Lonchura striata: one gene and its partners. The protein of the gene in region 3 purifies or fractionates together with the protein of the main gene of each other region. This does not show direct contact. Links are inferred from orthologs where the notes say so. Each region holds a gene or a part of one and is shown on either strand. Other genes may lie near its edges. The genes, in order: MTA2, SAP130, SIN3A and ING2.

Region 1 (7,766 bases), on a different chromosome or scaffold from region 3:
TAAAAAAATCTTTGGATGTCCCAACAGGACATGAGGAGTTCAGAAGAAGTTTTGGGGTCTCCCAGTGAGAAATGAGGAGGTTCTAGAGAGGTTTGGGGGTCTCCCAGTGGGAACTGAGGGTTCTGAGGGAGGTTTTGGGGTGCCCAGGGGGCTGGGGTCCCCCCTCACCAGGGTGATGTCCCGGGAGGCTGCGGCCGCGCTCATGTGCAGGCTGGGCTGGCGGATGGAGCTGCTGCAGTCCAGCGCCCGGGCAAACGTCCCCACGGCCCTGGGGGGGACATGGGGGGGTCAGCAGGGTCCCCCCAATCCCCCTGACCCCCCACCGACCCCCCCCGATCCCCCCTCACCGAGCCACCACCAGGAACTGGTCGATCTGCCGGTCCGTCAGGGGGTTGTCGGGGTCCCACACCTTCATCTCCATCTTCTGTTGGTTCCGGTTGTCCGACTCACCTGGGGGAGGTTTGGGGGGGCTGTCAGGATGACCCCCCCCCCATCCTGCACCCCCCAGAGCCCCCCCGAACCCCCCAAACCTTCGGCCAGACGCTCGGGGATCTCAGCTTGGTACTTGCAGCCCACCCTGATCTCGCCCTGGTCTGCCAGCAGCGTTTTCTGCACGGGGTCGAAGACCAGCGAGTAGAAGAAGCAATCCTGTGGGGAGGGGGCACATTGGGGGGGCTCAGCAGGGTGGGGAGACCCCCAAAATCCCCCCCCAGACCCATTTTGGGGCACACAGAACTCACCTCCTTCTCCAGGTACTGCCCCAGGATGTCGGTCTCGTTCAGCAGCGTCACGCTGCACTTCCCCCTGTAGGGGAAATTTGGGGAGAGGGTCACCCCAAAACCCCTCCCCACGCAGGGGAAGCCCCCCCAGAGGGTTTTCCCACCCCCCCAGAGCCGTTTCTGCCCCCGGTACCGGATGTGGGTGGCCGGGAGGGACTCGAACTGGCGAGACAGGAACAGCTCCCGGTGCTTGAGCTGGTGCCGCTGCTGCTCCGTCATCGGCGGCTGCTTCGACTCCTCCTCAAACTCGCCTGGGGGGGCCGCGGGGGGGTCACACCGGGGTGTTCCTCCCCCAAAATCCAGCTGGGAGGGCCCATTGTTCTCCCAAAACCCCCTCTGGGCTTTTGGCAACAGCCCCGAAGAGGGGGAGGGGAGGGAGGGGGAGGGGCCGTGGGAGGGGAGAGACCCCCCCCAGGAAGGGCAGGACCCCCCCAGTTTGATGGTTCAAAGGGGTCAGTCCTTTACCTGTAATTCCCCGCCCCAAAATTGGCAAAACCCCCCCAAAATTCAGCCCAAGAGAGGTGGAGAGAGACCGAGCAGCTCCAACCCCCCCTCAAATTTGGGGCGCCCCTTTGGGAGAGGTCACAGACCCCTCTGCAGCACCCCTAAATTACCCCAATAATGTCAAACCAGTTCTCCCCAAATTCTGGGAGCACCCCATTGTGATATGAGCCACAGACCGCCCTATAAACCCCCTAAAAACCCCTCAAATCCCCCACCCACCGGCATTACCCTTGGCCTGTCCTTTAAGGCTGCCCCCCAAATCCCCAAAACCTCCCCAAAACCCCCCAAAAGCCCCCCACTCACGGGCATTGCTGTCAGCCAGGCTGTTGAGGCTGCTGGAGATGTCACGCCGTCGGAACAGACAAACCACCTTGGCCTCCACGTTGCCATTGGCCGTCTGGGGGGGCACAGGGGGTCAGTGGGGTCCCCTGGGCTTGGGGACCCCCTCCCCAGGCTTGGAGACCCCCCTGAGGAACAGGGCAGGGGTCTCACCTTGTTGAGCTCCTCGATGCGCCGCACCAGGTAGGGGTTGCTGGAGGAGTTCTCGAAGTAGACGTAATCTGGGGAAAAATAGGGAGCAAAAATTGGGGGGTCACGAGGGCAGCCCCACCCCCCAAAAATCCTTTTTCTCAAACTTGTCAGGATTGTTCTTAGTTCCACCCAAATCCCCAAAATCCAGGGGGTTTTTGCAGCCAGATGTTCCCCTCATGGGAACGGGGTTTGTTACCCCACAGGACCCCCCCTCATTTCCCCCCCTCAGCCCCCCACTACAGACCAGAGGTCCCCCCCTGGCACAGACCTTCCCTCACAAATGAGGGTGGAGGACACCCCCCAAAAAAATCTCGGGTTCCCTTCTCATCAGAGACCACCCCCCTTTTTTCTTTAGATTTTTTTTTTTTTTTTTTTTTTGGGGGGGGGAGCCGTCTCCCACCTCCACGCCTCAGAATTTGGGGTCCCAAAGGAGCACACCCCTTAAAGAACCCTCCCCATTTCTGGCACCTCCTTTTCCTCACAGACTCCCAAGTTCCCTCACGAACACCCCAAATCCCCTCAGGGACCTCCTTAACCCCCTCACGGGACCCTTTCCTCTTCAGGACCCCCCCCGCCCCTAAATCCTCTCCCTCCAAATTCCCGCACGGGACCTCCCCCCCCACCGCCTATTGCCTCACAAGACACCCCCGCTGTTTCCGGGACCCCCAAATTTCCTCACAAGACCCTCTCCCCCTTTCCGGAACCCCCAAATCCCCTCACTGACCACCCCCCACTCCCCTCACGCTTGCCCCTTTCCAGGACCCCTCACGGACCCCCCCCCAATTCCCCTCACGACCCTTCCCGCGCCTCACGGAACCCCCAAATCCCCTCACAGACAACCCCCCCCGCCCTTTTCCCACTCCCCTCACGCCTCCCCCTTACCTCACGGACCCCCCCCCCCCCCAAAATCCCCTCACGGACCCCCCCAAACCCCCCCCCACACTCCGCTTTCCGGGACCCCCAAATCCCCTCAGGGCCCCCCCCAGAGCCCCTCCTGGAGGTCCCTGCCCGCGGCCCCCGGCCCGCTCACCGCCGACGCGGTACATGTTGGCCGCCATGGCCGCTCGCTCGGCCGCGCTACCCCCGGGCCCGGCCCCGGCCGCGCTTCATCGCCGCTCCCGCCGCCTCCGCGCCGGCACGGCCGGTTCGGAGCCCTTCGGGCACCTCCGGAGACGTTCGGCAACCTCCGGCAAGACCTCTCGGGCACCTCCGGAGAGGGTTTGGGCAACTCCGGAGAGACTCGGGTATTGCCGGATGCGTTCGGGCACCTCCGGCACGGGTTCGGCGCCGCCTCGGGCGCTTCCGGAGAGACCTCGGCGCTTTTCGGGAAAGCCTCGGCTTGGCCTCGGCTCTCTCCGGCACTCCTCGCCTCAACCTCGGCTCTTTCCGTAACGCGCTCGGCGAGTTCCGCCAGAACCGGAAAGGCGCCGAGGGCGGGCACGGAGGAAGAACCCGCGGCGCTTCCGGGAAGCGGCGGCGATCCCGGAGGAAACGGCGGGGTCCTACCCTGACCCCAAGGCTTTTATTGACGCCTCTCACAGTGCAGCGCGAAAACGCGGCGGGGGGGGAAAGCTTTCCACCAAACCCCGAGCCGCTCTTTGGTCCCAGGAAGGGGGGAAAGGGGGAAGAGGAAGCAGCGAGGAGGAGGAGGAGGAGGAAGGCGCGGGGCTCAGGCGCTGTCCCCGGGCAGCACCCGCCACTGGAAGACGCTGGTGTCCTTCCCGCCCAGCGACACCAGGTGTCCGTCGTCGTGCGTGAAGCGCACGTTGGTCACGTGGCTGCCGTGCCCGCCGTACACGTGACTGGGAGCCTGTGAGGGAGGGGGCGACACGTGACTGCGGGGTCACGTGGATACAGCCCCCCCCCCCCCCCCGCAAACGGGGGGGGACCCCCGAAATTGGGGTCTGACCCCCCCCCCCATACCCCTAAATTGGGGTGTGGGACCCCCCACCCCGATCCCCTCAAACTGGGGTCTGGGACCCTCCCGAGCCCAAAAATTTGGGGTCTGGAACCACCCCACGACCCCTCAAATTGGGGTCTGGACCCCCCCCCATACCCCTAAATTGGGGTGTGGGACCCCCCACCCCGATCCCCTCAAATTGGGGTCTGGGACCCTCCCGAGCCCAAAAATTTGGGGTCTGGAACCACCCCACGACCCCTCACATTGGGGTCTGGACCCCCCCCATACCCCTAAATTGGGGTGTGGGACCCCCACCCCTCACCCCGATCCCCTCATCCCCTCAAATTGGGGTCTGGGACCCTCCCGAGCCCAAAAATTTGGGGTCTGGAACCACCCCCACAACCCCTCAAATTGGGGTCTGGACCCCCCCCCCATACCCCTAAATTGGGGTGTGGGACCCCCCAAAACACCCAGTGGGTTTGGAGCCCCCAAATTTGGGGTATGGGACCTTCCTGAGCCCAAAAATTTGTGGTCTGGACCCCCCCCAGCCTCTCAAATTGGGGTCTGGGACTCTCCCGAGCCCAAAAATCTGGGATTTGGACCCCCCCCCAAATCCCCCCAGAACAGCCAGTCCAGGGGTTGGGATCGCCAACCCACCGGCAGTGAGTCTGGACCCTCCTGACCCCCCAAACTGGGGTCTGGGACCCCCAAACTGGACTCTGGGACCCTTCCCCAGCCCCCCCGAAACCCCCCCAGAGCCCGGTGCCCACCTTGGCCCGGGCACAGGGGTACTGGAACAGGTGAACCTTGCAGAAGTCGTCGGCCACGGCCACCACGCGCTCGTGGTGCGAGCGGCACAGCGAGTTGATGTCGGTGCCGTCCGAGCCGTCCGGCCACACCCCTGCGCCGATGTCGGGGGTCAGGGGGACCCCAAAAACCCCCAAATACCCCTCTAGAAACACGCAAAGCTCTCGGGGAGCTGGGGACCCCAAAAACATCCACAAATACCCCGCTAGAAACACCACAAGGGCTTGGGGAGCTGGGCAACCCAAAAAAAACCCCCCAAATATCCCGTTAGAAGTACCCAAAGGGCTCAGGGAACTGGGGGACCCCAAAAAAAAAAAAACCATTAGAACCTTCTGAAGCTCTCAGGGAGCTGGGGGACTCCAAAAAAACCCCAAATACCCTGTCAGAAACACCCAAAGCTCTCGGGGAACTGGGGATCACCCCAAAACAACCCCAAATACTCTGCCAGAACCACCCCGAGGGTTCGGAGAGCTGGGGGACCCTAAAAGAAACCCAAATACTCCTGACAGCACCCCCTGAACCACTTGGGGAGATGGGGAACCCCCCCAAACCCCCCCTGAGACCCCCCGAGCCCCCAGACCCACCGAAGACGTGGAAGCCCAGCACGCAGGTGTAGGAGGCCCATTCCCGGTCCCGGCTCTCGAAGCGGTTCCGCAGCAATTTGCAGCCCCCGGCCACGTCCCCTGGAGGGGGGAGAGACCCCCAAAATCTGGGCTGGGGGGGGCTTGGAGAGTTCACCCCGAAATTTGGGGTGGGGGGTAGTGAAAGGCACCCAAAATTTGGGAGGAGGAGGAGGGAGGGAAAAGGGAAAGCCCCCCCAAAAGCTGGGGAGGGGAAGGGAAAAGAGACCCCCAAAATCTGGGGAGGGAAAATGACACCCCCCCAAAAAGAACCAGGGGAGGGGGACAGTGAGACCCCAAAGTCTGGGGGGTCCCGGTGGGGTCAGGGGGTTCCCCCCAGCTTTGGAGGTCCTGGCAGGGGCAGAAGGGTCCTGGAAAGATCTGGAAGGGCCAGGAAGGTTCAGGAAGGTCCTGGCAGGGCCAGGGGGTTCCCCCCAGCTCTGGGGGTCCCGGCAGGGTCAGGAGGGTCCCGGCAGGGTCATGGGGGTCTCGTCAGCCCCAGGGGGAGCCCCCCAAGCCCCCAGACTCACAGTAGAGGATCTCATAATCCCCTGAGTTGGACATGATGAACCGCCCGTCCTTGGACCAGTCCAGGTGGGTGATGAAACTCGAGTGACCCTGGGGGCAGCGGGGGGTGGGGGGGGTCGCTGGGGGTCCGGGGGGGTTTGGGGACCCCCCCCCAGCCCCCGCCAGCCCCCCAGCTCACGGTGCAGCGGCCGAAGCGGCTGAACTTGCGGCCGCCCTCGGCCACGCTGTAGATGTAGATGAAATTGTCGTGGGAGCCGATGGCCAGGAAGGTCCCGTCTGCAACGGGGGGGACGCGGGTTTGGGGGGGACACGGGGTTTGGGGGGGACACGGGGTTTGGGGGGGCATGGGCTTTGGGGGGGACACGGGGTTTGGGGGGGACACGGGGTTTGGGGGGACACGGGGTTTGGGGGGCATGGGGTTTGGGGGGACACGGGGTTTGGGGGGGACACGGGGTTTGGGGGGGACACGGGGTTGGGGGGGACACGGGGTTTGGGGGGACACGGGGTTTGGGGGGACACGGGGTTTGGGGGGGCAGGGGGTTTGGGGGGGACACAGGGTTTGGGGGGGCTTGGGGGGGACACGGGTTTGGGGGGACACAGGGTTTGGGGGGATTTGGGGGGACACGGGTTTGGGGGGAACATGGATTTGGGGGAGTTTGGGGGGACACGGATTTGGGGGGTTTGGGGGAACACAAGTCTGGGGGGGCCCCATGACCTGGGAGGGTTTGGGGGGGGGTTCCACACACTGGGGGGGGATTTGGGATAGTTTGGGGACAGGGAGGGATCAGGGACAGTTTGGGGACATTCTGGGGACAGGGAGGGATCAGGGACAGGCCAGAGACAGTTTTAGGACAATTTTGGGACAGGGAGGGGTCAGGGACAATCTGGGGACAGTCTGGGGACAGTTTGGGATCAGGGACAGGCCAAGGACAGTTTGGGGACAGTTTGGGCTGGCAGGGGACGCGGGGCTCACCCGGTGAGAAGCGAACCACCGAGAGCTGCTCGTTCCCGTCCGAGCCCCCGGCCAGGAGCTGCCGCGTGCCCGTGTCCAGCACCAGCCACCTGCGGGACGGGGACACGGGGACATGGGGGGACACGGGACATGGGGGGACACGGGACATGGGACACGGGGGGACACGGGGACATGGGGGGGACAGGGGGACATGGGGGGACACGGGACATGGGGGCGACAGGGGGACATGGGGGGACACGGGGACATGGGGGGGACATGGGACATGGGGGGACACGGGGACATGGGGGGGACACGGGACATGGGGGGACACGGGGGGACACGGGGACATGGGGGGGACACGGGGACATGGGGGGACACGGGGACATGGGGGGGACATGGGGGGACACGGGGACATGGGGGGGACACGGGGACATGGGGGGGACACGGGACATGGGGGGACACGGGGACATGGGGGGGACAGGGGGACATGGGGGGACACAGGGGGACACGGGGACATGGGGGGACACGGGGACATGGGGGGACACGGGGACATGGGGGGGACAGGGGGACATGGGGGGACACAGGGGGACACGGGGACATGGGGGGACACAGGACAGGGGGGGACACGGGGACATGGGGGTGACAGGGGGACATGGGGGGGACACGGGGACATGGGGGGGGACACGGGGACATGGGGGGACACGGGGACATGGGGGTGACAGGGGGACCATGGGCACTGTTCCCCTGTGTCCCCATCTCCCCCCGTGTCCCCTTGTCCCCCCATGTCCTTGTGTCCTTCCATGTCCCCCCATGTCCCCCCGTGTCCCCCTGTGTCCCCTCCTGTCCCCATGTCCCCCCGTGTCCCCCGGTGTCCCCCCGTGTCCCCCGGTGTCCCGGTCACTCACCGCCCGCTCAGCAGCCCCACGGCCACCACGTGTCCCCCGGGGTGGAAGTCGGCGCAGAGCCCGGTGTCCTGGGGGTGGGGAGGGGTCACGGGGGGTCCCCGGGACCCCCCCAGAGCCCCAAACCGGGGCTGCCGCCACCCCCCGCACCCCAAACCACCCCCAGCCCCAATTCGGGGGTCCCCAGCCCGGGTGTGCTCCTCGTCCCTTGTCCCCAGAGCACCCCCTGACCCCACAAACCGT
Region 2 (6,868 bases), on a different chromosome or scaffold from region 3:
GCTAAATCCACTGAAATTGCTGCACATCCTTAGCCAGACTAATTCAAGTCCATGTAAAGGTACTTTACAAAACCCTGAGAGGTTTAGTAATGAGTGTTCTGACAAACTATTTTCAAACCAACAGGGCTGGCTCTGCAGTCAAGTTAGGGAAAAAATTTCAAAACCATTATCTACACAGACTCCATCAAATTTTGTCACTCCTCGTTCACTAAGAACAGTGAAAACCCAGGAACTTTTCACAAGTTTCTTCTGATCTCCTCCCAGAGAAACTGAAGAACACTGCAAAAATGAATCCCAGCAGTTTCTCTACAGTAGAAATTCTCCATGTGACACTGACACAGCAGGAGCTTTTAAAGAAAGACCCAGATTTTGGGTATGGCTCTGTCATCACAGCCTGGCTGTGCTATTTCAGTTGGATGATCCCAACACATCAGCAGCTTTATAAAGAGAAAGTGATAACCAAGCCTGAAACTTAGTGGTCCAAGCAGAACTGATCCAACAAGCAGCAGCACTGAACAGGGAAACCTGCTCTCTTTACATTCCCTCCTGCTGCAAAAGCCCACCTCAGCTGTACTTGTATTGATCTGACCATGCAGTGAGATGGAACAGAAAAGCCACCAAAAAACCAGACCTGTTGCCCACTGATAGTTGCCACAGGGATTGTTGGAGCCTGTGGTATGCTGCTCTCCATGGTCACAGTCACTTGCCCAGGGACCTTTGTGGGAGCTGAGAGAGTGGAGGGTGGAGCAGGAGCAATGGGCCGGCTGGGCATGGTGGGCTTCAAGGGAGGCTACAAGAAATGGAAAAACAGAAACATTGGCAATTCAAAGGAGAGCTCAGTGTTGAAGCAGCAATCATTTTGTGGGGTCAAAGCCTGAGGAGAAAGTTTATGCAAGCATGGCTAAATATTTGAAGAGGAAAAACACTGAACATTTCGTTATTCCAAACAAAGAAAGGGCATATTTTGTCCTGGAAATATGCAGGTTCTGGCATGAATCATCAATGGACTCTGTCAGGGCTATGGTATTGTGCTACAGACACTGGATATAAACTTTATATCCTGAAGAGACACTGGAAGACTTCAAAAACGGATTGAAATCACTGCTTTCCTCAAAGATAAACAAAATACACTCCCCTCAAAAATAATGCTAAAATACTAGCAAGTCCTCAGTGTATCTTCTGAATCAGCCAAAACCACAAGGCACTGCACAGTTAGCAGAAGCATGCAAAGAAAGCTTTAGAATAAAAAGCAGGGAAGGTTTTGGTGCAATTTACTTTTTCCCAACACCGACTCATACAGATTATATTTTTTTCCCCAATGAATCCTCTCATTACCTTCATAAGTCCATCTGAAAAAGAAAGTGGCACAGCTGGAGTCAAATGTGCTGGTGGTGCTGTCACTGTCACTGGAGCACCAGACTGGACAGGGTGGTGCTGTGCCAGCATCTGGACCTGTGGGTAGGGCCGGACCACCACGGGCTCTTGCTTCTCCTCCCGAGGCTGGATGGAGCCACTGGGGCCCATGTGCTCCCTGGGAGCAACTTCTGGCTCACGACTGGATTCGTCACTCACTAGGGAGAAACAGGAAAAAAAGGTAAGAATCGTTACAAAGTTTGCTTTGGTCACCCACTAGGTCAGAGATGAGACACTGGAAATACCGGAATTTAAGAAGTTCACTCTTAGAATTAAACATATTCCAGTGATGGAAAAACTGGGCACTCTGGCACTGCTTCTGTCTGTTCCCCTGAGAACTGATGGGTTGGGCAATGTTGGGGAACCTGGGGTCAACTCTGAGAAGTCCAACTAAACACCTTCTTTAAACACAGATGGACCAACTTTTCTTTCAAGTGAAAAGTAATTATCTAAGTAACTGCCATTAAGTCCCAGATCAAACAGCATGAAAAACTACACATTTAATGCAGTATGTATCTGAATAGCGAGCTGAAAACAAGTATAAAACCTCCTGAAAATGAAGCTGCCCCCCCAGTCACTTCTGGAAACCTGTCATCGTGGCAGGGACAGCAGGAGCTGGGACCACAGTTCGCACCCCATTTCCAGCTCCATGAGATGCTCCCACGTCCGCTTGTGCTAAGAACACAGAGGGCCGAGCGGAGCGGGACAGGCACCTGCGCACAGGCCCCGGGCAGGGATGCCAAGGCGCATCCCGGCTCTGCCGGCGCTGTCCCGAGCCGCAGCCGCCCTGCTGCCCCCGGTGCTCTCCCCACGCGGAACCTCGGCACTTCCAGCCACGGCCGCGGGGCCGCCTCGCTCCTCCCGCCCGCGGCGCAAAGCGCGACGGACGGGGCGGGGTACAGGGATCGCTGCCCGCCCCCGGAGGCGGCAGCCGCGGGGCCGGGATCGCGCTTACCTGTGGCGGCGGGGGCGATAATCCCGGCCGAGCCGCTGGTGGGGATGGGCGGCGGCGCTGGTCCCAGGGCGGCGGGAGGCGCGCCCGACCGGGGGAACTGCTGCGAGCTCATGTCACCTGCGGGCGGCAGCGCGGCCGTTAGCCCGGCCCGGCTCCCTCCCTCCGTCCCTCCCGCGCTCCGGGCGCGGCCCCGCGGCCCCACCCACCCCGGCTCGCGCCCGGCCCGGCCAATGGCGGCGGGGCGGCGCCGGCCAATCAGCGCCCGCCCTGCCCCGCCCCGCCCCGCCGCGCCGCCGCAGGGCCCGGATGTGCCCGGCAGCGCGACGGCCCCGCCGCCTCGGGCCAGGCCGCGCCGCCCTGCTCTGCCGCCGTCCCTTCGCGATGCCCCCTCCGCCGCGCTTCCGCCGGCAGGAGGCTCGCTCCACCCCCCCTCCCCGCCGCCGTCGCGCTCTGAAGCGGCGGACGCCGCCCGCTACCCGCAGCCTTTCCGCAAAGCCACCCCCGATCCGCAGATCTGGGCGATGCCGTGCGCCGGCCGCGGCAGTACCTGTGCCCGGGGCGGTGCCGTGCGCCGGTCCCTGAGGCCGGTCGCCCCGCGTCGCCGCCGCTGCCGAGCGCCGCTTCCGCCGCTGCAGCCGCCCGCACCCGATTGGCCCCGGCCAGCCCCGCCTACCCGGGGCTGCCGCGTTTCATTGGCTGCCGAGCCCGCCCCGCGGGGCCGCCGGGAGATGTAGTCCGTGCTGGGATGGTGGCGGGCGCAGATCTCGCGAGGCGCGGGAGGGGCGGTGCTGCTGCCGAGCGCGCCATTGGCCGCGCGCCGCCAGGTCTCCGGGGAGACGCGGGGTGGGCGGGACAGGCCGCGGTCAGCCCGGGCCGCGCCCGCCAGAACGGGGCGCACCGACCCGCCCCTGCCCCCGCCGACCCCCTGCAGCCGCCACCCCGAGCTCCGCACCCCGCTGTTGCTCTCCACACCCGGCCAAACCACCCCTTCCCCGCTAGAGTCCCCAACACCCAGTCTGGGCAGTGACAAGAAGACACGGCGGGAAGGCGCTGGGGAGGGTACGGCGGGAGTCAGCATCCCAAAAACATCCCAAAACCTCCGTAATTCGGGCGGTCCCCCATAACTCCCTGAGGGGCCCGCCCAAAGTGCTCCTCCCAGTCCTGGGAAGGGACACAAGGACATGTGGGTGCTCTGGGGATCCCTGGGGCTTAGCACTCCAAACCCCCTAAAATTCAGGGGGTGGGGGGTGGATTCCCCGAAGTCCCCAACCCTCATCCTGGTTAGGGACAAGGGGATAGGGGCGGGGCACCCTACCCTCCCCTATCACTGGGATAGACGGAAAAATATAAGTAATAATAATAACCACCCCCCCCCCCCCCCCCCAAACCTGGGAGATGACGCACATCACAGCCCTGAGAGCCCACAGTGCCGGGCGTTTGTTTACAGACACATCAGAACACCACCAGTCTTCAAGATAGTATTCTTCTCATGTTTCGAGGCTTAGAAATGAACTCAGCCAGACACCTGCCACTTTCAGAGTTTTAATAATGATTTAAAACTAAACCAGGAGTAAACCTTTGAAATGTTAGGAACACATGTAAGTAATGCCTAGGTGTGCCCCGCAAAGCTTAGCGCTTGTGTTGTGAACAGGAACACAAACAGTGTTTGTGCTGGCGCCGCTGGGGAAGCTGTGGCCAGCAGCAGCACTTTGTCGCGGCGCGATGTCACTCTCAGGACACCCGCCTGGGCTGCGGCTCAGCTCCCATCCTGAGACATTCCCTTCCCCTCTGCCTGCCGGGATTTACAGCTTCCTTCTGGCTTGCCGCGTCCCGCCCGGGACCGCAGTGCTGCTGCTGCACCTCCGTGTCCGGCGGGGGCGGCCGGGCACGGAGCCCGCACAGAGCCGGCCCCTCCGGCATGAACAGGGTAGAGAAGGTGTGAAAGGTGCAGAGAAGATAAATGAAGAACGACTGGCTTTAACCTGCCGTATGCTGCTCTCAGTTCCCCCCACGTCTCTACGCTTTAATAAACGAGCAGTTGTTTGCGCAGGGTGTCCTCCCGGCAGCACAGGCTGGCGACTGCTCAGGGCCAGTCAATGCCACGCGAAACCCACAGGTCGTGCCTTCGCTCCGGGCGCTGCCTCGCTCGCCGGCGGCCGCGGGCCGGGCTGCGGGCGGCCCGGCCCCGCCGTCACTGCGCGGCGCCGCCGGCCGGCGGCGGAAGCGGAAGCGGCGCGGGCGGCGGGAGCCGGGCGGCGCGCGGCCGCTCGCAGGTGCGAACCGCGGCCGCGGGGCCCTGAGGGAGCGGCGGCGCGGCGGGCGCGGGGGCGGCGGGCGGCCGGGGCGAGCCGCGCTGCGGGGCCGGCACCGGCGGCGTCCCTCCAGCGGCCCCCGCGGGGATCGGTTGGGCGGTCAGCGGGAGCGGGGAGCGGCGGAGGCTGCGTTTGATGCCCGGCACCCTCAGCGCCGTGACGGGCCGGGTGTCGTGTGTGCTTTGAGCCCTGGCTGCTCGGCGCCTCGGTGGCGCGGGGCAGCGCAGCGGGCGCCTCTGCGGGACCGACCCGAGCGCTCGGTGCCCGCTGGTTCCCGTGATCTCTGCGTGCGCGGTGCCCGTCCCGGTGCCCCGCGCTGTGCCTGCAGCAGGACCTGCCCCTCGCTCCCGGCGGCAGCGCGCTTTGCTTTGCCCTTCACCCGCTTGCCACCACACCGGCCTGGCAGAGGGCACTGGCTGTAAACGTGGGCTGGTTTATTCCTCTCCCCAAGGCTGGATGTGCGAGTTGCCCGGAGTATTTTAAACGGAATAATTGGAAGAAAAATAAGGAGGAAAAATATTTACACTGCTTTGCGGTGTCGTAATTCAGATTGGGTTTTGTTGTGTTACCTGGCACAAAGCTGGATCGCCTTGTGTCAATTTTGTTCATTCCCGTGCCTGTTACCTCTTTTTCCATGGTCTGTTTTTCTTTGAGAGATCGGTCATTCCTTTGTTTTATGGCTGTTATTGTTGAGGATTTGTAGATATTTCTAAACTGCAGGTTTTCAGTTGGTTAAACTAGCAGGTGTCAGATGTGTCCTTTGGTTTCTTTCCTATTTCATACAGAAAAAGGCTTTTAATTCAGTCTTTCCCGGAGCAGGAAAGCAGGCACAAGAGAGCAGCACTGGGGGGTTTAGCCATGAGAGTGCTGTTGGGTATATTCATTTACCTATTCCAAGCTCCAGTGTGTGATTTGCAGAGAATAAGAAGGACCCATCTCTGAGAGGAGCTGTGAATTGGTTTTTCGTGTCAGTTGGCAGAAGCCAATGTTTCACTCTACAAATATTGGCTGAGCTTCCCCCTCTGCACACAGGGAGTGATGGCTGTGCCCGTTCTGTGATGCCATCTGTCTGCTTCCCAGGTGTGACATAAAACAAATGTCCTGTGCAGCTGACCAAGCTGCTCTTTGAGGATCACAGCAGGAATTTCTGGTTTTATTCCCAGAGAAAGAATAATGTCTGAGTTATTGCTGGGAAACATTTGGCTGGAGGGGTATAAACTTTTAAAGAGAGAAGGATTTGGTTTGTTTTGTATATATACAGGTAGCTTAGAGCTACAGATATATAACCCCGTCCTTTATATTGAGATGGTAATAAAAAAGAGACAGAAGTTAGATCCTGGCAGGTTGTTGGGTGTGGTATATGTAGAATTGAATTAGGATGTTTTTTTAGGTGCAGGGGGAACATGGAAAATAAGTTTACTAGGAAAAAAAAGATAAAGAACTCAATGAGCACTTGAGTGCATATTGGGGGCATAATAAATATAAATATACTATAGTCAGAGAGGGGCAAAAAAAGCTTGAACCATTGGAGACTGTAATGGAAAGCCAACAGAAGAATTCAGGTCTTCCATAAGTTTAGGAGTTGTGGGCAAGGAAATTCCACTCAGCTTTTTTTTGGTGTGTAGGCCAGAGAATACAAGGCTTGAAAATACACAAAATGAAGGATAATAAAGAAATGGAATGATTTTTTTCTACTTTCTCAGTAGGTTGTATAATTTTAGTCTGTTTGCATTATTTCATTCATATTTCAGCTTTTAAATTTGGTGGTGCTTGGTGCAGCCAGGAAATACTTGTTTCTTCATTCCCCAAAAAACCTAAAGGACTGACTGGGGAACCTCACCCTTGCCTGCATTAGTCCACAGCTGCTGGATCTGTGCTAACACACAGTGTGATTTTACCTCCCACAAAATGAACAGTGGGTTGTTTTCTCACCCAGTCTGAAATGTGTGCAGTTTGTAATACTCTTAAAGCAAGATGTATGTGGTGTTGGCATCTTGGAACAAAAGCATAAACATTATTTGAAAGCATAAACACAGAGGAAGCTGGAATTGATTTAGGTTTAATTGCATCTCAGGAGTAAGTTTGTAAATTCCTTGCCTCTCCAAGTTTTTGATTTTGTAAGCCCAGGTGAGAGTGTGATCATCTCATTAATGCATTGCATTAAATGCAGTATTAAAATCTTAACATA
Region 3 (7,596 bases):
CCTGGGGCATTTCCATCCTGGGGACTTGCGCTGTATTTGCAAGCTGGTTGACCTGAGACATGTCCTCAGGACTTCCCACAACCATCAGACTTGGGAGAAGTGCCCAGGTGCCTCTAGGAGATCTGTGGGGGGCTGAGCACCACCACTCCAGTTCTCACAAGGGGCAGTGATGGCACCGTTTGGTGTCTGACACCATCCCCATCACCGTCTCTAGGTACCTTCTGCGCGCTGGACATCTGCCTGTCGCAGCTGCAGGACGTGGGCACCCTGAACATCTACCAGACAGTGCTGCGCATGCGCACCCAGCGCGCCTTCAGCATCCAGACCCCCGAGCAGTATTACTTCTGCTACACCGCCATCCTCGAGCACGCCCAGCGCGAGGGCCTGCTGCTCACCAACCACAGCCGGGCCGCCCAGGACAAGAGCTCGCCGGGGCACTGAGACCCTCCGCCTCCCTGCAGACGCCGCTGCCCATCCTCGGGGGCTGCCCGTGTCGCCTCGGTGCCCGCCGGGACTCAGCAGAGCCGTGGGGGCGGCGGTGCCGGAGCACCTCAGCTGTCAGCACTGCTATGGAACTGTGCCTTATTCAACCCAAACGGTGGCTGCCACTTGCCGGCATGGGAAGGGGCTCTCACTCCTCCCCGTCGTGTTTTGGTTGGGTTTGGATGGTTGGGGAGGTGGTTTGTCTTCTCTTGTTTTTTTGTTTTGGTTTTGGTTTTTTTGTTGTTGTCGGGACCACCTAAGATGTACCTAGAGAGGGGCTTTGCAAAGTCCTAGGAAATGTATTCCCAGTCCTGGGGCTGAGGAAGAGGCACGTGCTTCGGTCTCACCTGAGGCTCCATCTGTGTGTCTGTATGTATGTGTGTATATAATATACCCCCGCTGTGACCCCCTGCCTATTATATAGATACATATATACGACCTCCCCTTTAGCAGCTCCCAAGGGTCCCCGCTGTCCTGCCACCTCACTGCTGTGACCTCTGGAGCGGTGAGTTTGGTCCTGGCTCTGTTTTGTCTTCCCCCTTCTCCTTATTTCCCCTCATGGGCAACGTTGGGACCCAGTACCCACTCCTGTGCCCATCCCGCCGGAGGCACAAGGATACTTGATAGTGTCCCCCGTTTCTTTGTCTCATCTTCCCCATGGAGAGGTAGCAGCTGTGCTCCTGGGAAGATCTGGAAGATTGGGTTGCCGGGGGGTGCCGAGCTGGCAGGCATCCCCTGCCCCTTGGGTGCCGCTGAGGGAGTCACTAGGTACGAGGTGACGGGGCCGTGGGGACCGACCGGCTCTCCAGGTTGCCCGGCTTTCCCAAGCTGCCGCTGGGAACCCGCGGGCCCAGCCCTGCGTTGAGTCATGGGCTGGGAAAGCGCTGAGCAAGAGTAAACCCCAAACCCTGGAGAGGCAGCGAGCCTCTGCCCCGGCCCCAACCCCTGCCACTGCCAGGGCCTCCCCAACTTTATACTGTAATAAGCTCTTTGAATGTGTATATTCTTATTTTTTTATAATCTTGGGGGAGGAGGGCACAGGGTTTGGGAGGTTTGGTTTTGTTTTGTTTTCTTTAGGGATTTTTTTTTGTTTGTTTTTTTGGGGTTTTTTTTGGGGGGGGGGGGTTGGCTTTTTTTTTTTGGTTTTTTTTGTATTTAACATTAACTTGATCCAAGCCGGAGCCAGAAGTATTTGTAAATGTTCCTATTTTGCTCTCAGAGAGACCTTTTTGTTGTTGTTACTTTTTTGGGAGTTGTTTTGTTTTTATTTGTATTGATATATAAATATACCACCAGTGACCAGTCCTCTTTGCTGTTGTGGGGGCATTGGGCAGGACAGAAGGAGGGAATTCAGGGTTTTGCACAGGCTGTGATCTCTAAATTCAGCTGGCCCCATCCCTGGCTACCTGTGAACTTTGAGGAGCACAGGGCTGTGCTTAGGGCTTATTCTGGCCTGGGTGAGGCTGAGACAGAGATAACCAGGCTGCAGGAAGCTTTCCTGGGCGGGCCGGATAGTGTCAGGAGGGAAGGCAGCACAATGAGCTGGTGTACCCAGGGGCGACACAAGCCACCCTGCTCCAAGCTCCTGCCTCTTCCCAGGGCCTTGACAAGCCTTAGGACATCAGTCTCTGTCTGGCCATGGTATCTGCCTGCTGCTGCCTTTTGCTGCAGGATTTGGGGGTGCAGACATCGCCTCTGTGCTTCTGAATCCCCTCTGAGCAGGCAAATAGGGCACAAAAATTAGGGGGAACTCCTGGGCTGTCAGGCAGCACCAGTGCCTTCAGGTGCAAGCAATGCCAGTCCCAGAGCAGCAGGCGCAGCCTGAGGCTTAGGGATGAGGGAATAAAAAAGGCAGCTTGTGCAAATGAAGCCCTAGAGCCAGCGAGAGAGCTCATGCCCCAGAGCAGGGCAGCTGGCGGGTGTGAAGAGCCGCACCTGTGTTTGTTCAGCTGGAGCCTAAAAACGTGAGGGATGCCAGTGTCTTTCTAGGACTAGCACAGGGAGAAGCTTTCCCCTGTGCTCTGGGGGTGGACTGGCTTGGCTGTGCCAAACTGAGGTCAGACACAAGCACTGCAAGGCTGGAAAAGAACCAGAGGCAGCAGGGAATCCGTCTGGAAGGGCTGCACAGGAGTGCACGAGAGGTGGGTGTTGGGAGCAGTCCTGGAGCTGTGCACATCCTGCCTGCAGAGTGGTTCTGGTTCAGCTGCCATGTCCCATCCTTCCAGGTACTTTTTTCCACCCAGCTCTCTCCTGGAGCAGCATCAGCCCAGGCAGTTTGCTCTGCTCCTGTGGCTCAGGCTGCCCCAGAGTTTCCCTCCAGGCACCTATTGCAGGGTGGCTCCTCTAAGAGAGCTCTCATCCTCTGAAGGAAGGCTCCTGTGGCCCTACCTCCTCACTGCCAAACTTTTTCACCCAGCTGGGCTTTCTTCTCGGCACACATGCAGGAGGGGAGTGTTAGCAGTTTATTGTTAATCCTGTGCTGTCAGCAGCAGCTCTCTGTAGCTCAGCGGGGCTTTTGGCAATGTGTTGGGTCCAGATCTGAAAGCTGCAGGTGATGCCAAGTGTCCTACGTGGCTCCACGAATGTGCCCAGCTCATGTCTCTCTTCCACTGGCTGTGAAATCCCAACGAAGCCCGCTCTGAGCACACGGTCAAGGTGGTTGTGCATTCTAGCTCAATTCCACGTGATGTGGGCACAGAGAAGCAAAATGTTTCCAAGATTCACGTCCTGGGTGTCGAGTAGGAATAACCAGAGGAGAGGGAGGGAGATAACCAGCGCTGCCTCTGAATGGGAACAGCTCGGATATGCTGCTCCCTTTGAGGAGTGATGAAGATCCCATCTGTGCTGGAGGCGGAGGAAAAGGTTGTAAACCTTTTCCATGGGAAAACAACCCAAACACACCCTCCCTTACTATTTCCAGGGCTGCCTTTCTTCTCAAAGCCAGCATTTTCAGTCCGCTTGCACAACATGATGTTTTGTTCCATCCATTCTGTCCATGCCAGCAGGTCCTACTCAGCAGTAGCAATAAGGATTTCTCTGGAAATGGTCACATCACACAGACAGCCAAAAGTTTCTGGAAAGAAAAACTTTGTATTGTTTGGAAAGCGGTGGGAAAAATGGGCTGTTGAGTGCAAGCAGCCTGATGCCTGGAGGATCTCCCCTTCCCTGAAGTGGCCCAGAGATAGGGATCAGCCACCACGGGCAAAAGTAACAGCACAGGCAATTCCAGGAACAAAATCCCAAGTTTCGCTGGAGTTTGGAAACAGGGATTTAAAGGCATTGCAGGGCAATCCTAAAGCGGCGCTGCCATCGCTGTGCCCACCTGTCTCATTTGGCTTTCTTGGCTGCATGCACGCCACCTCGCTAATGACGATTACTTTAGTGCTTGTAATTTTGCGCCCTGGGAGTTTGGAAAGAGCCTAGCTCCAGAGCTCTTAATTTCCCAGCCCTTCTGCTTCCTTGCCTCCGATTTCCAAGGTTCAGGCTCGATCTCCAGTGGCACTGCAGCCCGTGCAGGCTCAGAGCCCGGTGTCGAGAGCCCTTCCAGGGGTTAATCCGAGCTGCAGCTCCCAGCTGCGGAGAGCTCCTCTGCTGTGCCGGCTTGTCCCGGCAGCAGCCCTCTGCCTGCTCCTGCAACGCTCTCCCAGCCTGAGAGAGGGAAGAACAGCTGGAAAGAAGAACAAAAAACAACTAGATTTAGACCTTCTCTGAGTGAAGAAGGTGCTCGAAACACACACTTGAATAGAAGCGTGCAATATGTGTGTTTGTATTTCACCCTTTCCCGAGCACGCTCCAGACGCCCAGATGAGCACTGACGGGCGGCCAGGCCTGGCTCCCGCAGCCTCCGTCTGGGGAAGCCGGCAACCCCCTCCGCAACTTTGCAAAGGGAGAGAAACACGATGACTGACGGCACTGACCCCCACCTCCATCTCGCGTTCCAGCGGAGGGGAACGCCGGCTGCCGCCGCGGGGGCACCGGCCGGCTCGGCTCCCCCCGCCCTCCGCCGAGCGGCCTTTCCCTCACACCCCTGCCCGCGGCCCCCCTCCCGCCGTGGGCGGCGCGGCCGTGACGATCGGCGCCGCGGGGCCAATCCGCCCCGGGGGGAGTTCCCCCTCCATTCAGGGCTGCTCGCCTGCGCGCTGAGGGTATGTAACAGCTGCTTCCCCCACACGCACTTTCCCAGTTTCGCCCCCCTTCACGGGGATCGCTTCCCGAGCGCCGGGCCGGCGGCCGGGCGGGAACCTGAGGGAAAGGCGGCGGGGGGGGTGGAGGGGAGAGAAGCGCGCGCGCGCTGCGGATCCCGCCGGCGGGAAGCGCGCGACGGCGGCGGGAGCGGGCGGGGGGGGAGGCGAGTGACTGAGTGTGTGTGCGCGGGGGGAGGGCGGGGGCCATTGCCGCGGTGGCCACGCCCCCTTCCTGGCACGCCATTGGCTGCAGCCGCTGAGGGCGCCGCCCCCCGCGGCGCGCACTGCCCACGGTCCCCCCCCTCCTCCTCCTCGGTGCGTGCGTGCGTGAGTGTGAGCGTGTGCGAGTGTGCGGGGCGTGTGCGGGAGCCCGTGTGTGCGTGTGCCGTGTGCTCCCCGCCCGCACGTGTAACCGACCCGCCCCACGTGGGGCGCCGCCATCCCGGAAGTGAAGGGGTCGGGGACAAAAGGCAGCGCCGCGCCGCCCCCGGGACCGAGCCCCGCCGCCAAGTCCCCCCCGCCACTCCCGCCGCCGAAGCGGTTGGCGGCGGGGCCCGGGGCCGGTGGGGGGGCTGACGGGGGCAGCCGCTGGCGCGGGCCGCGGCCGCGATGTAAACATTCCACAAAAGGGCTCCCCAGAGAGGGGGGCGTGGCCTCGCCGGTGGCGGGCAGGGCCAATTCGCCGCGTGGGTGGGCTTCTCGGCGTGACGGCGGCGCGGCCCCGCTCGCCAATTGGCCGGCGCTCCGGTGTCGCAGCCAATAGGGCGGCGCGGGAGGCGGGACGGGGGCGGGGCGCGCTGCTTATACGGACATTTTTCTTCGGCGGTCGCTCCCCCCCCTCCTCTCCTCCCTCCCTTCCTCTCCACATCCCCTTCCTGGGGGCCGCGGCCAATAGGGGAGGGCCTGGTGGGCGGGGCCAGCGCTCCCATTGGCCGAGAGAGTGACGGGCGCGCGTCCCAGCCAACGGGCGCTCGGGGCTCCCCCCCTGCGCGAGGAGGGGCGGGATTTCCCGGGGAACAGAGAAGCGGGCAGCGCTCCGCCGCGGCGGCCGACAGACGGTTACTCCATCTTACCCCCCCCGCCGAGCCCCCCGCCCCCGCCGGGGCACCGGCGCCGCCCCCGCCCGCCCCCCCCCTCCGGGAGGAGGGGCGCGGGGACCCCCCCTTCTCACTGCGCCGGGGACAGCCCGCCCCCGCCGCCCGCCCGGGAGGTGCCCGCCACCCCCGGACCCTGAGGGAGACGCGGCCGCTGCCAGGAGCAGCTTCGAGGTAAGGAAGAGCGGGGCGGCGGGGACGGGAGGCCGCCGGGCCCGGGGCCGGCCCCCTCCGGCGATCCGTAGGGGGCGGGGCCCGGCGCCGGTGCGGCGGCGGCGCGGGGTTGGGGGGGGGCCGGTCGGTGCCCGCGGCGCGGCTCCCCGGGGAGCCCCGGCCCGCGCGGGCGGCCGCGCGTCCTCCCGCCCCGCCCCGCCCCGCCGGGGTGTCCCGGCCCCGGCATGGCGGGAGCGGCGGGCGGAGCGTGCGGCGGCCGCTGGGCGCGCTGCGAGCCGGGCGCCGCCTCCTCCCCCCGCCCCTCCGCCCGCCCTCCGCCCGGTGCCGCTCCCGGGCTGCGGCGGGACCGCCCCCGGCAGCGCTCGCCCGCATCGCACGGCCCCGGTACCGGCCGCACCGCGCGCCGGAGCCGCCGCCGGGGCTCCCGCCCGCCCGGGGGGGCGTTCCGAGAGCCGGCGGGGGGGGCGCGGTGCTCCCGGTCCCGGGGCCCGCCCAACTTCCCGCGGAGTTGCCGTGAGAGCGCCGTGCCGGGCCGCCCCCCCGCCGCCGTCCCGCTCCGGCACGGCCGCGGGCTCCCCCGTGGCTTCTCGCCGCTCTCCGGCTCCGTAGCGCAGCTCTCCGGAAGGACCTGTTGGAGCGACGCGTGGATGCAGGGAAACCCGAGAGCTCCTCGTGCACTCATTAATTTTCCTGCGATTTTTATAGCGAGCCGGATCCTTCTGCTCGTCCTCCCGTGCTGTGAACTTGGCAGACGCTTACGCTGGTATTTCATCCCTTTTTAAAAATTCTTCAGGCTCGTGTACATCCCTAGAAACTACTTTAAGGTTTGTAGGGTTTTTTTTGCTAGCAGGACCTAGTGGAGTTCAGGTAGCTTTAAAAGTAGGATGGTGTTTATGTCCGCTTAACTAAATCCTGGTTTTTCTGCCTTTTCCTGGCCTGGGTTCACGTTATTTGTGTGAATAGCACATGTGCTTAGATAGAAGTTACATCCCTGAAGAAACCTATTTATTTGGACCACTGAAATGGGGCAAAATTAGTTGTGTCAGCTCTATTTTAAACAAATTATCAAAGGCATCTCCAGCTGTGCGTGGATTTTCAGTCTCCCACGCTGTCTAGAGGAATCTAAACCTGGTCTATGTGTTAAAGTGTAGCTTAAAGATGACATAACACCTCATGTTTCTCTTTAACTTGCCGCTTTTAGTTGTGCTAAAAGGTGCAGGGTCAGTAAACAAGTGGGAAATGCCCAACTTAATTCAGTACAGCTGTATCTTTACTGGCCATTTTTCACTCCCAACTTGTAATTATTTTTCAAAATACACTTTCAGAAAAGTAAACATTATTATATAAGATTACATTACTATGTAGGATTAACTATATAGTGCAGTATTTTAAATTAAAATGGCATTTTATTTTAATATACTAATTTTAAAGCATCTGTAAGACTTCCTTCATCACATAAAGTGCCTTGGCAGCCTGGTGTCAGCCTGTGCTGGATCTCCAAGGACAGAAAAACACTTTTTAGGGTGTTTGTTTTTTTTTTTCCCTGCTGAGGTGAAGTTAGCAGTTTTTCACATGGGTACGCTCTTTACAAAAGGAAATCGTGCTTTTCCTCCCCCCAAACTGTCTTATCCTCATCCCTCCCACCTTCTGCTTCTGGTGGA
Region 4 (6,868 bases), on a different chromosome or scaffold from region 3:
ATGACAACTGAAGTTACATAATAGCAAATTTACAATCAGAATGAAAATCAACTTACACCCCTCAAAATACGTTGCCGATTATCAAAACAAATTACAGCAAGCTACATTTTAAATCAAGGTTGAACTTTTCAGAATAGGTGACCTTCTCTTTAGTGCATCATAGGATATTTTTAAGCAACTAGTAAATGAGTGGCTCACAGTTTGATTCTCAAGCTTTCCCTCTTCCAAGTCACGCAAAATAACTGCATGTGTTGCTGTGAATCTTTCACTAAATTTAGTTCTAAGCAGCAAGTTTAATGAACCCGAATATGAGATCAGTAAATGTCTTATAAATCAGTCTTAGTCTTGTACTCTGCTGTTCTACATTGCTGTATTTTAAAATTACTTTTTCCAAGCCAAATGTTACACTAGATCTACACATTAAGAAGAAAAAGGGAAGGAAATAATTAGAAGAGCTGACAGTGGAACTTGATGTACAGTGTTAGGTACAGTATTGGTTCAATCAGAACTTAGGATTTTATTTGAACAGGTAAGGGAGTTTATAAATGGTATTAAACTATTTACTTCTAAAACAGAAGTTATGTAGTACAATCTACCTCTTCCTAAAGACCTGCATTTAAATAATTTGCTTTCATTTTAAAAGAACTTGTCTGCACTATTGTAAATAATTCAAGCTTGTCATCTCAGCATCATTCCTAGTGATATTTTTTTTTCCTGCTGCTATCTTGGAACAGTAGCTTAAGCATGACCAACTGCTTTTTACTATAAATTCTGAAACCTGTATGACAACAGGAGCCAACTGAATTTTGTTCTGTTCCAGACCTTCTCTAAGGTAAGATAAAAATCACTTCTCTAGCCTGTCCAGTAACTCAGCCTGTGTTTTCTGTATTTTAATATCAGCATTCCAGCTACCATTTAAACCATAAGTTTTGTTTCCCTGTACCTTCAGCTGCATCCCCTGCCTGTTGCCCTGACAAGAGAAATTAAATTTTTAAAAATCTTACTCTCAGCTCCTGCGAAGCATGGAGTAGGGTACTTTGTATGCTGTTGAACAAGTAAGGTATAACCAGAGCACAATATTGTACAACCACACTATCTCCCACCCAGACTTCTTTTTTTGGAGGCAGAAGTGTAGGTACAGATAGATTAGATAGATTTCCTGTACTGGGAATGCATTACCCAGAACCGTTCACAAACAATAGCTGTTTGCTCATTCATACTGTGACAGAGAACAACATTCACCCTACGTCGGTTATTGCCTGGATGCAGCCTGTGAAGATATGCTGAACTTTACACGGATCAACATCCACTAAAGAGAGCAAAGAAGTTTTGGACTGACAGAGATTACCAAACTTTACCAAACTTCTTGTGAATCCCCAAAGATTAGACAAGGCATTCATACACCCTAATAAACAACCCTGAAACCTCTGTAAAAAAAAAAAAAAATCCCCACAAAAAAAAACTCCAACCCAAACCAGGGCCAAGTGTATATTACAGATAATCTGATGAAGTTTGGTGGAGCTAATAAAAGCTAAAATTATTTGTTTTCTAAGTACAAGACTGACTTTTTCCCTCATCCACACACCATCTCTACCTTTTAAATTAGCCGAAATAATATGGCATTGCTTTTACATTTTCAGGCTTGGGTCTAAATATTTTTATCCCATTTTTAGGGTTTTGAAGATTTTTTGTTTCTGTTTTTTTTTTAAACAGTTGAAGGCTTTGGTTAAAATTAGCAACATTTTTTTTATGGCCCAGTATTGGTGGCTGGATAAATACACATTAATAAGGAGTCTAAAGAAAATATTTTATCTATTAAAGTCTGATGATTGCTGGCAAGCCACCATGGATCAGGAGGTAAAGAGCCAGCCTTGACTAGGAATTCAAAATGCTGCAGGCAAATCTATGCCCTTTAAACTTGAAATCCCAGGCAACTTACAAAAGCCTGTTCTTATGTGTTTTCTCGGGTAATTAGAAAGATAATTGAAAGAATCCCTTCACAACAGCTGCCTCCTGAGGTGGCCCCTCAGCGTCTAAGAGGCCTCGACGGTGCCCGTGGTCCCCTCCTGCCCACGCTGGAGGAGGGAGATGCGGCTCCAGTGCCGACTCCACGGGATCAAATTCCTGCCTCGCGGCAGGGCCGGCTGGCACTGCCGGGCACCGCTGTGCCCCGCCGGGGGGGCGCACGCTCTTTAATCGGCACCGAACTGGCCTCCCGAAGGAGCCGTGCCTCCGGAGGAGGTTTAGGGCAACTTCCCGCTCCGCAGCCTCCCTCCACGACCCAAGTGCAGGCTGCCGGCGCTTCGCGTATCCCCGCCCCGCCGTGCGTGCGGTCTGCCGTGCGACACCGCCCCCCGGCCCGCGCGGCGGGAGGAGCCGCGGGGAGGCCGATTCCGCACCCCACCTCCAGCGGCGCCGCCGGCTCGGCAGCGGGGCTGCCCGGCGGGGCGGAAGCGACCCCAAACGGCGGAGCCGGGGCCTAGCGCCGGGCGGCGCGGCCCCGCCGTGGGGCGGCCTCCCCCGGCACCGACCGGGCGCCGGCAGCCCCGCGCCCCCGCAGGCTTAGCCCCGCGGGGCCCCGGCAGGGTTTCACCCCGGGCCCGGCTCCTCGGCGCCGGGCGCATGTGCGGCGGGTGGAGGCCGTCCCTTTCCCCTCTCTCCCCGCCGCCCGGTGCCCCGCGGCGGCGCCCACCTTGGCACTGCGTGTCCATCTCCCGGAGCAGCGAGGCGTTGCGCTGGATGTCCAGCGGCAGAGACTCCACGCACTCCAGGTAGTCCTGCACGTAGAGCGAGAGCAGCCGGGCCCGCTCCCCGCCCGGCGCCGCCGGCCCCGCCACCAGCTGTGGCCCCGCCAGCATCATCCCCCCGCGCCAGCAGCACATCCGCCGCCGCCGCCGCGCCGCCCGCACCGGGCGCGGGGTCCTTGCGGCGGCCCCGCTCCCTTCTCCGTCTTCTTCTTTTCCTCCTCCTGCTGCCGCCGCCCCGTTGCCCTCGGGCGGCCGCGCCCGGGGGGCGGTGAGCGCTGGCCGGGCCGGGCGGGTGCGGGTGCGGCCGCCCCTCCGCGGGGTCCCGCGGGTCGCGCGCCCCTTCCCGCGGTGCCGCCGCCGGAGCAAAACCCCCGCTCGGCGCCCCCGCCCCTACGCGCAGCGCGCATGCGCGAGGCCCTGCCCTTATAAGGCGCGGCTGGCGGCGCTGCCAGGGGTTCGCATTCTCCCGCCTTCCCAGGCGCGCGCTCCCATTGGCCTGGCGCGCGGCGGGGGCGCGCGGGGGGCGGGGCCTGCCATAAAGGCGCCGCCGCCGCTTCCGCGCCCCGGCGGAGATCCCCGCGGGGCAGCGCGGAAAGTTCCTGCCCGCAGGAAGAGCCACCTGACTTATCTTTAAAGAAGAGCAAAGAGGGAAGCTGAGTGACATTTTTATCCTGAGAAATCATTGCAAGAGTATTTTAAATAAGGCATCAACGAGCTTTGGCCATTAAAAGCCACTCACCACACAGCACGACACAATCTCAAAAATTTGACAGAGTATCCATGTCTTTCCCATTCCCGTTGCAGAATTTCTATTACATGTTTGCCACAACAATTATACTAGGAAACAAAAGTTAAATTACACTTTTTGACTATATACATATAAATATATATATATTTATACTATAAATGTATACATCTATACTATAAAATGTTGATATTTCATCTCCACTTCTCTTTGGGATATTTTTCAGGTCTTTAGTACATGAATAATTATTGGTAAGCATCAGGAAAAGAAAATTAATTTTGTCAAATCTTGAAACCTCCTGCAGAGACCTGTATATTTTGCATAGTTTCATTTATATTTTAGTCATCCAAAAAGATATCCAGGGAAAATGCATATGGTAAATGCAGCAAAAAACCAACCAAACAAAGAAAAATCAGATTATTGAATTCAGAAATAAAATTGAAAATAAGAAGTAAATTCAAATCCCCGAACTCCCTTCTGTCTTACATTCCTACCTCTAGTTGAGTAGCCAGCACTAAAAGAGTACCCATACTTATCTTGTAGATAGCATTTCAGGATGGCATGATCTGGAGTAGTGGTGAAACAGCAGCACAGGTTGCACAGAGAGGTTGCATAATCTCCATTCTTGGATATTTTTCAAGCTCCCTGGATAGGGCCTGACACAACCTGATTTGGCTGTGAAGCTGGCTCTGCTTTGGTGGCCCCCCAAGGATCCCATCCAGACTCCTTTTTCCTGGAATTCTGTCACTGTGTGGTCTACGCCAAATAGCTCCATGGCTACTCATACAGGAAAATTAGTGTCTCACATGATGGCAGTCTGCAAGTGTTATTTTCTTAAGACCCTAGTTCACAGAACTATTTAAACATTCCTACTTCCAAGTCAAGCAGCCACTAGGCAAGGGGGTTTTCCATGGCAGGGATTTGCATATGTCTGTGTCCAAGCTGTTGAGTAATTGTAGCTGCAATCAGTCAGCTTTGCCCAAGTCAGCAATGTGTTGGCAAGGTCATAAAAATGAATGAAAACAAAGTTGTAGACAGTACTTTCAAAACATCCTTCCCTACGCTGATGTCACTCTGGCCAAAAAAACAGGAAGTCTGTAATTCTGTGTTCATGTTCTTAAGAGGGCACCTTCATTTTAAAATTAACAGTTTTAATTTACAGTGTAACACCTCTAGTAACACCTCTAAAACCCGCTGCTTTTTTTTTTTTTTTTTTTTTTTTTTTTTTTTTTCACTCTTACAGCTCAGGTTAACGAAGCCTCATATAGAAAGTGGCAATAACTTGGTTACCTTGGCTTCCATTGGCACTTGGCTTCCATTGGCACTTTACAGCATTCATTGCTGTCACTTCTGAGTAACTGAAGTAACTGAAGACTGAATTTTTTTAATAATATTAACAAATAACACTTACTGTACAGGCAAAAAGCACTACCTGTATGCCAGTGAAAAGGACCTGGATTAATATAATTGATACAATATTATTGAGAAAAGTGTTGGCTGTTTTGAGGGGTTGTGTTTCTGCTTTTAGTAAGTTTGAATGGGTGTAACATTCTGCCATCTCATGAAGAAATAAAGCTATGAAATAGGAGATTCCCCTACAGAGCACTAAAAATAAAGCAAAAATGTTTATTCAAAATTAACATGTTATTTAAAATTAAATGCTAATTACTACTAAGTATGAATTTAAACCAAACATTTTGGCATAACTTTTTTTTCCTGACAAGAAACTGTGTATGCACTGTCAGTAAAGAAAGAGCCAAGAAAATAATTAATAATATTTTTTATGAACAAGCAGGTGGTTTCTGTGCTAAAAGCTTGCTGTTTGTCACTATGGGGGAATCAGTATCTAAGGTACGGCAGAGAATAGCTAATGACTTCTGAATTTAAGTGTTGTCTGCTGTTTCAAACACTAAAATAAAAATTTAAATTTTGGGGAACCATAAGAACACAACAATGGCACTGGACCAGATTTCCCTAGGAAAAAAGAAGCCTTAGCTTGCTGCATATTTGAAGCCTCAGAGTAAAGGAAAGCAAGAATGGCAGATTGAATTCTCCACTTTGCTCATGCCTCAAAATTGCTAGGAGCAAGCACAGGAGAATTCTGATGCATTGGGCTCAAGTTTGCAGGTTGATAGACATCTCTGAGAAACAACTATGTCCTTTCTTTCACTGTCTGTATGTGAGAAGAATCTGCAGATAGGAACTTGCATGGTAGAGCAAAACCTTGCTAATTGTAGAGGTGGACAGGCAGAACAACCATATATTTCCACCAACCCTCTCTGCTAAGTGTGAAACTGTCAGCTTGAGGTTGATATACACAGGGATGTGATATTAGTGTGTATTGCATCAAACATATCTCAGTAGCTGTCCACCAAGGGTAAGTAACAGAGAGCTCCTATATTCAGTTTATTTATATTTATTTATAAAATAAATAAATCCCAGTAAAAGCTAAAATAATCTAAATGAATCTAAACTAATCCCAGTTTTCAGGGAGAATAGATACCAACAGTTTTTATTTCTTTATAAATTACCAGTATAGGTTTTTAAAGTTCCAACCAGAGTATTCCCCTTCTTTTTGTGAAAGATGATCTCATTATGTTACAGATTTTACTAAGATAAAATTATTTCCAGAAATTTAATCCAACTTTTATTTTCCCCAATTGAAGTTTTGCCTTTCATCTTTCATAATCCTCATTTTACATCCTCAAAATGCAGATGATTCCTGTCCTGTTTCACATAATAATACTACTGTATTTGACCAGGTAAGCTATTCTCAAAAGCTTCTCTAACATCAGGTCATCCAAAAAAGATACTTCCCTGTAATGCCAGACATTGCTTTCTGTTTTCCTTAAGTACTAGCTTCTCACAGGTGCTATGGGGCATGCTTGGCTGGCATAGGAACTGCAGCTTCTTAGAGGAAGGGGACACTGCTGATCAGCTGAGGGGCAGCATCTGGCCACTGCAATGAGAGCACCACATGGATCATTCCCTGTCATTTACAACTTGGATCTGTCCACTTGTGTCTCAAGTAACACTTCCCTTTGTCTCCAGGAAATTGCATTTAGAAAGTAACTCCTCTTCCTCAGCTACTGTTGCAAAGCAGAAATGATCGGTGGATTTGGTTTCCAGCTCTAGAACCAGTCACCCTGTGAAAAAACCTTGGGAGGTGTGCAGATGATGTTCAGGGAAGCCAAGTTAGAAATGGTAACAAGGTAATCTTACTGAATTAGTAACCATCTTTCTTGTCTTACCTCACCCTGAACCCTGATTCTTTTTCATTCTAGTAAGTGGAAGAATCCACATGAATTTAAGGGAAAATAACCAGGACCTTTTTTTGCATAATAGAAGATTTTTTGTGTGTTATTGCCTGAGGTAC

What was found.
Region 1: the proteins of SIN3A (region 3) and MTA2 purify together in Homo sapiens (affinity purification with mass spectrometry; 4 studies listed by BioGRID, with this or other methods). This does not show direct contact. The link is inferred for Lonchura striata from reciprocal best matches to the Homo sapiens genes SIN3A and MTA2.
Region 2: the proteins of SIN3A (region 3) and SAP130 purify together in Homo sapiens (affinity purification with mass spectrometry; 4 studies listed by BioGRID, with this or other methods). This does not show direct contact. The link is inferred for Lonchura striata from reciprocal best matches to the Homo sapiens genes SIN3A and SAP130.
Region 4: the proteins of SIN3A (region 3) and ING2 purify together in Homo sapiens (affinity purification with mass spectrometry; 5 studies listed by BioGRID and IntAct, counting the BioPlex papers as one, with this or other methods). This does not show direct contact. The link is inferred for Lonchura striata from reciprocal best matches to the Homo sapiens genes SIN3A and ING2.

The regions. Positions count from the first base shown.
Region 1 is NC_134638.1:417,195-424,960, forward strand, and holds the start of MTA2 (metastasis-associated protein MTA2), read right to left. Parts: upstream 3,011-7,766; 5' UTR 2,873-3,010; coding exon 2,845-2,872; intron 1,844-2,844; coding exon 1,776-1,843; intron 1,681-1,775; coding exon 1,587-1,680; intron 1,031-1,586; coding exon 913-1,030; intron 805-912; coding exon 741-804; intron 649-740; coding exon 531-648; intron 451-530; coding exon 348-450; intron 269-347; coding exon 169-268; intron 1-168. UniProt on the Homo sapiens protein: May function as a transcriptional coregulator. Acts as a component of the histone deacetylase NuRD complex which participates in the remodeling of chromatin.
Region 2 is NC_134612.1:4,326,738-4,333,605, reverse strand, and holds the start of SAP130 (histone deacetylase complex subunit SAP130), read right to left. Parts: upstream 3,011-6,868; 5' UTR 2,916-3,010; intron 2,486-2,915; 5' UTR 2,481-2,485; coding exon 2,369-2,480; intron 1,572-2,368; coding exon 1,336-1,571; intron 791-1,335; coding exon 632-790; intron 1-631. UniProt on the Homo sapiens protein: Acts as a transcriptional repressor. May function in the assembly and/or enzymatic activity of the mSin3A corepressor complex or in mediating interactions between the complex and other regulatory complexes.
Region 3 is NC_134613.1:5,631,474-5,639,069, forward strand, and holds the start of SIN3A (paired amphipathic helix protein Sin3a), read left to right. Parts: upstream 1-4,584; 5' UTR 4,585-4,628; intron 4,629-5,858; exon of another isoform or gene 5,859-5,935; intron 5,936-6,461; exon of another isoform or gene 6,462-6,698; intron 6,699-7,596. Other genes in the region: PTPN9 (tyrosine-protein phosphatase non-receptor type 9), read left to right, coding at 215-441. UniProt on the Homo sapiens protein: Acts as a transcriptional repressor. Corepressor for REST. Interacts with MXI1 to repress MYC responsive genes and antagonize MYC oncogenic activities. Also interacts with MXD1-MAX heterodimers to repress transcription by tethering SIN3A to DNA.
Region 4 is NC_134606.1:32,346,740-32,353,607, forward strand, and holds the start of ING2 (inhibitor of growth protein 2), read right to left. Parts: upstream 3,018-6,868; 5' UTR 2,883-3,017; coding exon 2,693-2,882; intron 1-2,692. UniProt on the Homo sapiens protein: Seems to be involved in p53/TP53 activation and p53/TP53-dependent apoptotic pathways, probably by enhancing acetylation of p53/TP53. Component of a mSin3A-like corepressor complex, which is probably involved in deacetylation of nucleosomal histones.